Linked DNA regions of Neurospora crassa OR74A. The protein of the gene in region 1 binds, or shares a complex with, the protein of each later gene. Links are inferred from orthologs where the notes say so. Each region holds a gene or a part of one and is shown on either strand. Other genes may lie near its edges.

Region 1 (4,195 bases):
GAGGACGGACAAAGTCGGGGACGCTTTGGGGAGGCACAAGGGGAAGGAACTTCATCGTGGGGTGATCGGCTTCGGCCCAGCCCTACCTACCACCGACGGCGTCTCACACCGCGGGGCGGCCAGCGGCCAGCGGCCAGCGAAAGGGGACAACGGTAGAAGGTGACGCCTGGGCGGATGCCCATCCAGGGCAGCCATATAACTACCTTTTCATCTTGTTTTCTTCTAGCCTGGCCGTCGGCTGCTCTGATATCTGCGTAGGATTTGCCGCGGACATTCTTCCTGTTACATATGTTAGCTTGACGTTCGTGGTTCTGATTTTGCACATCAACTGGCGTTAGCTGGTTCAGGTTAATGATCATCTCTGCCCCATTACTCATCTCGAAGCCCGTCATCAGTTCCCATCTTCGTTATTGGGTCCGTGCGGATATCAGTAGTAAACAAACACAAAGGGGTTGGCCAAGCGTTGAGGCACTTGAGAACCAGAACCCAGGGGGGCCAGCTTTTTGTGGGGTGACCCTTTTCCTAGATTTCAATGTCATCTCTTTGACCCCATTCAGAGCTTGATAAAGACTGAGGGACAAGCTTCCCGCCATACTTCTTATGGCCCATCAATTTCCATGACTATTCTCTACATTGTCTATACAATGATATATGCTTTCTAGCCTAGCTTTTACTGCCCGAACCACAAAATAACTGATGTATACCTCGGCAAGATGCTCAAATAGTGCGGTACAGGTCATGGCCTCCTCTCGATTAGGCGCTTGGAATTTTGATTGGCCAGCGCCTGGGTGTCGCTTGGGTGTGTCTCAACAACACACCATGGTGGTTACAGGCTGGAAGCGGCCAGACTTCCAACTGAGCTGGATGATCGCTTCTCTCGCAAAAAGCATGCCTTTTCTCAGCACTTCGTAGGGTACTTCCAAACGTAAGCGCCAAGATGTCCAATGTAGGACTGGGTGGATGATGTGCAATGCGCACAATCCAACTAAACTTGATGATATGATCCGTGGCCGTGGGTCCGGCTCAGCAAAGCGTGGTTTACCTCTTCCGTGCCGGCAGTCTGATCTTGGGAAACTGAAGAGGCAGTTGCAGGACGGCAAAGTTCTCCATCTTGTCAGCGACCTTCTGTTGCTTGACGCGAGCTCCAATCTCGATAAAGTATTGGTTGAGCTGCTTCTGCTCCAGCTTCAGATCTTCTCTCAAGTCAATCGTGTTGACCCTGAAGCCGTCGATGATGGCGGCAAATGCGCAGCAGTGCGTCATCAGAAGGTCAACGTGTGTCTTGCGCATGACTCCGCCGTCCGAGAACTTGCGGCGGATGTTTTCAATCACGATCTCGGGCGCTGGTGCCATAACCTCGCGCAGCTTATCCCTCTTACCAATGCTTCTTGTGCCACGCTCCCTTCCTTGCGAGGTGGCATTCCAGAAAATGATGACGAACAAGAGGTACCGCAGTACCCTCAATCTGTGCACCGCGTCGTCGCTGCTTGCTACGTTGGAAACGCGCTTGGCGACAAAGCGCGAAGGTACCTGGATGTCTTCTAGGTTCTTGACGCTCTCCTGCCAATCCATCACTGGTATCGCGTTCAGGACCTCGGATCCGATAATTTGGGATGGTACGTAGACGTCTGCGATTTCATCGGCATTGAAGTTGCCGCGCGGTACCGGTCGGGCGTTGTCGACAGCGGCTTGAAGGTCTTCCTTGGTCGACATGTCCTTGGTGGCGGTCTTGATGGCGTCCATCATCACCAGCTCGCTCTGGCCAACCTTTTGAGATGTAATGGCGTTCTCCGTCACGTCGCGGATCGCCTTCTTCGCCTTCTTAGTACCGAATGCCTCGCCGAGCTCGTTCCTCATGGCCATCATTTGCTGTTGCACCGTCAGTCTGGTTTTATGCCCCTGACCACTACTTCCAGGCTTACCTGTTTCTGAGTCTTCTCTTCCATTGCCTCGTCAACCGCCTTCTGCGACCTAACTGTGCCACGGAGCACCATCTTGCGCGCCTCTACAATCTCAACCTCGGCGGTTTTGGGGTTGAAGATGCCAATGTAGTGCTTCAGGTATGGGTCGGACGAGTCTCCTGTCCTATCTTCGCGAGCTGTGTAGTCCATCGTCCGGTGGTTGGCAGAGTGCAGCAGCAACTCTTGTGCGGGCGCGCCATTCTTCTTGCGCTTCGAGGTCTTGTCGGCTGGTGTGGCGTAGGCTTGAAATTGTATGGACGAAGAGAGAGCGAGTCCCGAGGTCGCGGCTAGGAGCGCATGTTAGAGTCTTCCTCCATTGGACTTGACGGCCATGGTTTCAGCCGATCAACATGTGCTTACCCACGACCGGAGGCGCATACTGCGGCCTCTTCACAGCTCCGACATTGATGAACTTGGGCGACTTGGACGATTTCTCGGAGTCGACCTTCTTCTTCTTGATTTGGGGTGTTGTATCCTCAGCGCTCTTGCGCTTCTTGTCTGATGAGCTTCCCATGGTGGTGTTTGCGGGCTACAAAGGTGCTGGGGTAGTGTAGAGTCGTGAAGTCCCGCCAAATCAAATGGATCATGCAGCTGGAGAGTCGCTGTCTGAACTTCCGAGTGGATCCCGCAGCCAGAAAAAAATTCTGCCGCCTGCCGGGGTCCGGTATCAGTTACCGCCTTTACAATCGACACACCACATTTGATGACGACGATGCAATATGTTTGATGATTTGTGTTGAAATACTACGAAGCGCGAAATCTTCATGCTATGAAATCAATTGCTATTGGTTTGCTGTTAAATTGCTTGGAGAGATGAAGAATAGCAAGCCGCACGCGTGCTAAAACAATCAACCAGACATGGAGGGGTTCAGTCCAAGTCACAAGGCAAACCAAGGCTTGGGACGCGATTTCTATGCCCTCGTGCATGCAGGCCACTGCCTTCCCCGTCGTTGAAAATGTTCACTGATGTTGCAAAAATTGGTATTCCCTTTGTGTGCAAATGCCATGTCACCTGTTCGAGGGCAGATGACCATGTTGTCGACAGAAACAATTGATCCAAGACATGCAGTCCCGTTTGTCACAGATGCAGAGAAGTGTATCATGAAGCGAAGCGGCCTTTATTGTTGCTGCGACGGGTATCCCGAATTCGCGTCTCCAAACTAGACAGTTTGCTCCCACCGGCGTTGATCCGTAAACACCTTGTTGCTACTCAACCATGAAGTTGACAGGCAACCAGCCAATACCATATCCGCCACCAAACAGTTCCGTTCTATGTGTGCCACAGTTTGATGTGCAGCATGTCCCGAGGGGTGCATGTTCCGTAGGAACCCTGAGTTCGCCTGATCACCGCAAGGTTTCAGAGCGACCGATGTGGCGTCATTCCGCGCTGAGGGGAGGAGTCGACACCGAGCCCAAGTTGTCTAATGGCTTAGAGGATAATGTCAAGAGCTGATTGGGTCGAGTGAGGCGAGGCGTTTATTTGCTGGGATCGAGTCAGCTTATATGCTCCTGAGTGGCGATTGTAGCTGCATCAACTGTCGATGCGCCGATGGTGAAACTTACGATCTCGCTCTCATCTTTCTTCTCTTGCGCTTAAGGCGTCTCACGCGCTTCTTTCTCCACTTCGCTCTCATCTTGAACTGCTTGTATGTCAGTAGGCGGGCAAGCAAATGCTGGGGGGCGGGAGCGCGTACATCTTGGATTTAAAGATGAGTTTTGCTTGTTGGTGATGGGAAAGAGTTTCAACTTGCGAATGGAGAGGGGGAACTTTTATCTCATAGGGCTCCAGGGCAAGCAGCCCTGTGGGGTAAGTCAGGTGACGCAGGCCCAAATTGCCCAGGCCTGCCGCTCTTTGTTTGGATGCGGTCCGTGCGGGGTGCGACCTTTGCCCTAGGTGGCCCAAGCTCCCGCTGACGGACGGGAGCTTCAGCTGGACTGCATCAGAAGCTCGGCTCGGAGATCGACTCCCGTCTCGTCCTCCAACGAGCGAGCCTGCCTCCCGCTCCTACTAATGGACACTGCACTTTCACTTCACTTGCAAGCTGCACCCGTCCAGGTCAAAGGAAGGCACGACCTGTCTGCATAAAAAGATTTTCACGATAGCTGGACATGGGAAGGAGGAGTCGATCCTCAAGGCACCAACTCACTCTTCCAATCTCGTCCTGTGATCTTGAACTCTGAGTGTCGTTCCCAACCTTTACCTACTTCTACTTCTCAATACGCAAAGCCACGGT
Region 2 (3,543 bases), about 2.2 Mb from region 1:
TGACATCTTGTCTCCTGCTCCTCAACATACGAACTGTTCATCGAGCCACAAAACTCAAGTATATTGTCGACAGAGAGAGCAATATTGCTCACCCATTGTATTCAAAATGATGAAATAGTAGGATGAGGATCAGCTTCTGAATTAAATTCGATCTGTAACAAAAACGAGACGGAACCAAGGAATCAACAAAAGTCATACTAGGTATGCTTGCCGTTTGCTTTCCAAGCAGTTCACAGTTCCTCCATACCTGCAATCACTTTCTAGTAGTATAACTGTAGTATAAGTCCTGAAACGGTAGCTAAGCCATATTTGTCGAGGCCCCCGTTTTTGTTCTCAAGACATACCTAGGTAGCCATCCCACCAGGCAGTCGTCACTTCACACTACCAAAGTATCAACGCACTGAAGATGAACAGTTAAAATGCATGTAAGGAAATGGGAGTAGGCGTTTCATGTCCCAGCGAGTACCTCCCACCTCACATGGCCAGCTACAGTGCCTACCAACTATCGGAACCGCCGCATCTCGGGCAATAATTAATGCATACCTAAACTTGGTCCAAAGACAAGTAATTAGGCAAGAAATAGAAGAATACAGACAACGCTTCTACGTCATTTGAACCTTTAACAACAGTATAGAAGGTCAAGTACCTGAAACTGAAACATTGTCCTGGGGAAGACCATAAGCCCGATACTGCTCGGACCGACGACACGTTGTGGAAACGCTCGGATTGCTGTATACCAGACGATATACTTGACGTGTACCAGAGATCCAAGTCGAGAATGGTGTGCATGGTGTCACTTTTTGGACAATGGCCTCCGATTCCACCTCTTAGTGTACCGCGAGCGTCACTCTCTGTACTTGTTTTCCTTTTCCATCTTTCTTGATCCTTGTTGAAATGCTTTCCCTTACTCCCTAACATTCAAAACAATATTTCATAGCTCCGCCAGCTTGGAGTTATCTGGTTCTCATTCTCTGACGACCGGAGACGGATAACGACCTTGTGTGAAGTCTATCCTTGTCTCAAGTCAAGATTTCGAATTGCGGAGCGTATCAAATGCCATAGAGACCGTAAAGTTTGTGATGACTCTAAAACCCTTCCAGTACAATGTAGCTACCACTGAGTCATTTTGAAGAGGGAATGGTGATGATTTGAGTAGTACAGAGTCCAGGAACCTCGGGTTCTGGAGTTGGGGGTTCATCGTCAACGTGATCGAGGGTGTTCTTGCCTGAGAGTTTCGCAATCCCAAGATATTGGTCACGGAATGATTGCTATACGTGAACACCAAAAGAGCTTATTCAAATTCCGGGAACACTGGCCGATTAAATAGTGAACCGAATGTGAAGTCAAGTATTTGGAGTCTTGAGTCCGGGAAGTGAATGTTGAACCCGAGTGACCTCAAGTCCCCAGCGTGGAGTTGCGAAGTCCAAAGGCTCATCTCAGCTTGGTGGAGTATCCTCAGCAATGGAACGCGGGAGCAGGCCAATGCCCGTCAGCAGGTGGGGTCGGTAGCTGCTCGCCTAACTTTCAGCCGCCTCCATCTTCTTGCTGGGGGGCGAAACCCTGCATTTCCCAAATTCTTGGCGACGGATAAACTCTTTCTTTCCACGCTAAAAATTTCTCCGATAACAGAGGCAATAGAGGCTCAGTCAGGTTGTTGTTCACCACTCGCGTGCCGCCGACTGTTGAATTCAACCCATCCGTGTGTTCCTGGAAGGATTTACACAATCGAATAACAACAACTTTACGCAAAGATCCAAACCATCTTTCAGTTACCGGTAACTCACGTTACCAACAACCATTACAGTCAAAATGGGCAAGATCACCAAGTTCGGCGACGAGGGCGAGGAGGTTACCATGAAGGAGACCCCGACTTCTCACCAGCCGGAGGCTCAGGATGATGTCTCTATGGCCGATGCGGGCGAGGAAGGAGAGGAGGGAGATGAGGAGTATGAGGAGGGAGAGGGTACTAAAGTTAGACTTGTACGTGAAACCCTCCATGACGAATATATGTCGACTCGAGACTAACACCTGAGCACAGCTTCCTGGTTCTACGCCCACGGCCGCTTCTTTCGAGTTCCTTGATGAGAACCATACCCTTGGTAACGCGCTCAGATACGTCATCATGAAGAAGTGAGTACCGGGAGCTTCACTTGTCTCATGTTAATGAGCTGAGCTGTGACTGTGCTAACACCATTTCATAGCCCTGATGTCGAATTCTGCGCCTACGCCATTCCTCATCCCTCCGAAGCCAAAATGAACGTTAGAATTCAGACCTATGGTGCGTCATCTTTCTCGTCCACTTCTTAGCGAGACCTGTGAATACAGAGGTGAACTAACAGTAACATGCAGAGGGCACAACTGCTGTCGAGGCACTCCGCAAGGGTCTGCGTGACATTCAAGATCTTTGCGACGTCGTTTCGGATAAGTTCCTTGAGGCGCGCAAGGACTTTACTGATAAGAAGGCCGCTGCGTCTGCCTAAGCCTCTTGTTTCTCACCTTTCTTTTCATCGTTAATTTTCACCAGCATGGGTAACGGCGTTTTGGGGCTTGAATTGGTAGTAAATCACAAGGGGGAACAAAAAATAGACAAAGGAAAACTCGCTGTGAGTGGCCATCAAGATAAGGGGGGAAGATAAAAGAACAAGCGGCTGCGTCCATGGATGTTCATCTGGCTTGCGTTATATACATAGGCTCTAGAGGAAAGGCTGACATTGATACCCTTCGTTATTACTCTTCTTAGTTGCGACCCTAGATGAAAGAAGAGTATTGTGAGCTACCCGCACAATGAAGTGGCCATCATCAAAGACAAAAGAGCTGCATGTATAGGCTTACCTGCAGGAAGCCATCGATAAAGCTGGAGGGAAGTCTCTTGGCTCCACGGAAGCTCTCCTCGTTGAAGTACGACATCATGTGAGTCGTCTGGCGCCAAAAGTTCATGGTTTCCTGATAGACGCGTGGAGAGTCAGCGTCAAGTTACCAGAACAATCAGTCCGAATCGCCGCGACGCATAACATGCGCCAGCGCTCTGATATTCCCTTCTGACCCCTTGCCTGGAACCCTTTCCCTCTTCTTTTTGGGTGTTCTCCAGATTTTGGACATGACCCCACTGCTGTGCCCGTTTCTGGGGATCCCCTGATTCATGTCCGTGTGGATAGTGACGATGAAGTGGAGCCTTACTTGATAGTCGGCATGGCCCTTTGTGAGCAGAACATCCACCACGGGCAACTTGTTAACGAAGCGGTTGCGCTCGAATTCCTGCCTGATGCGAGTGCGAATGACCGAAATGGGGAGGGGTAGTGAGTACATAGACTGCATCTCGGGTGTCTGTTGTATGTGATATCCTGGTTAGCGAATCCTCGGTCGGGATTGTTCGCACTCCTCCCATTATATACGTCGATATCCAACGTGTTCGTCGAAAGCTGGAAATGCTCGTTCTATGTAGGTTCGCTCGTAACGTACCGAACGAAGCCATCGCCGATAAAGGGCGAACACCCTCCGCTTGGCGTCGCTCCAGTTTGCCGCTACAATGTCCGTCAGAGTTAC

What was found.
Region 2: NCU06485 (region 1) and NCU00419 share a complex: the UniProt entries of both Saccharomyces cerevisiae proteins name them as parts of the RNA polymerase I (Pol I) complex. The link is inferred for Neurospora crassa OR74A from reciprocal best matches to the Saccharomyces cerevisiae genes RPA49 and RPC19.

Annotation. Positions count from the first base shown.
Region 1 is NC_026503.1:1,582,164-1,586,358, forward strand, and holds NCU06485 (hypothetical protein), read right to left. Parts: upstream 2,549-4,195; 5' UTR 2,476-2,548; coding exon 2,322-2,475; intron 2,249-2,321; coding exon 1,923-2,248; intron 1,870-1,922; coding exon 1,039-1,869; 3' UTR 515-1,038; downstream 1-514. UniProt on the Saccharomyces cerevisiae protein: DNA-dependent RNA polymerases catalyze the transcription of DNA into RNA using the four ribonucleoside triphosphates as substrates. Component of RNA polymerase I (Pol I) which synthesizes ribosomal RNA precursors.
Region 2 is NC_026503.1:3,782,311-3,785,853, reverse strand, and holds NCU00419 (DNA-directed RNA polymerase I and III polypeptide), read left to right. Parts: upstream 1-1,595; 5' UTR 1,596-1,809; coding exon 1,810-1,980; intron 1,981-2,038; coding exon 2,039-2,130; intron 2,131-2,201; coding exon 2,202-2,278; intron 2,279-2,349; coding exon 2,350-2,480; 3' UTR 2,481-2,603; exon of another isoform or gene 2,604-2,736; coding exon of another isoform or gene 2,737-2,748; 3' UTR 2,749-2,832; downstream 2,833-3,543. Other genes in the region: nuo14.8 (NADH:ubiquinone oxidoreductase 14.8kD subunit), read right to left, coding at 2,737-2,748, 2,833-2,943, 3,178-3,324, 3,460-3,521. UniProt on the Saccharomyces cerevisiae protein: DNA-dependent RNA polymerases catalyze the transcription of DNA into RNA using the four ribonucleoside triphosphates as substrates.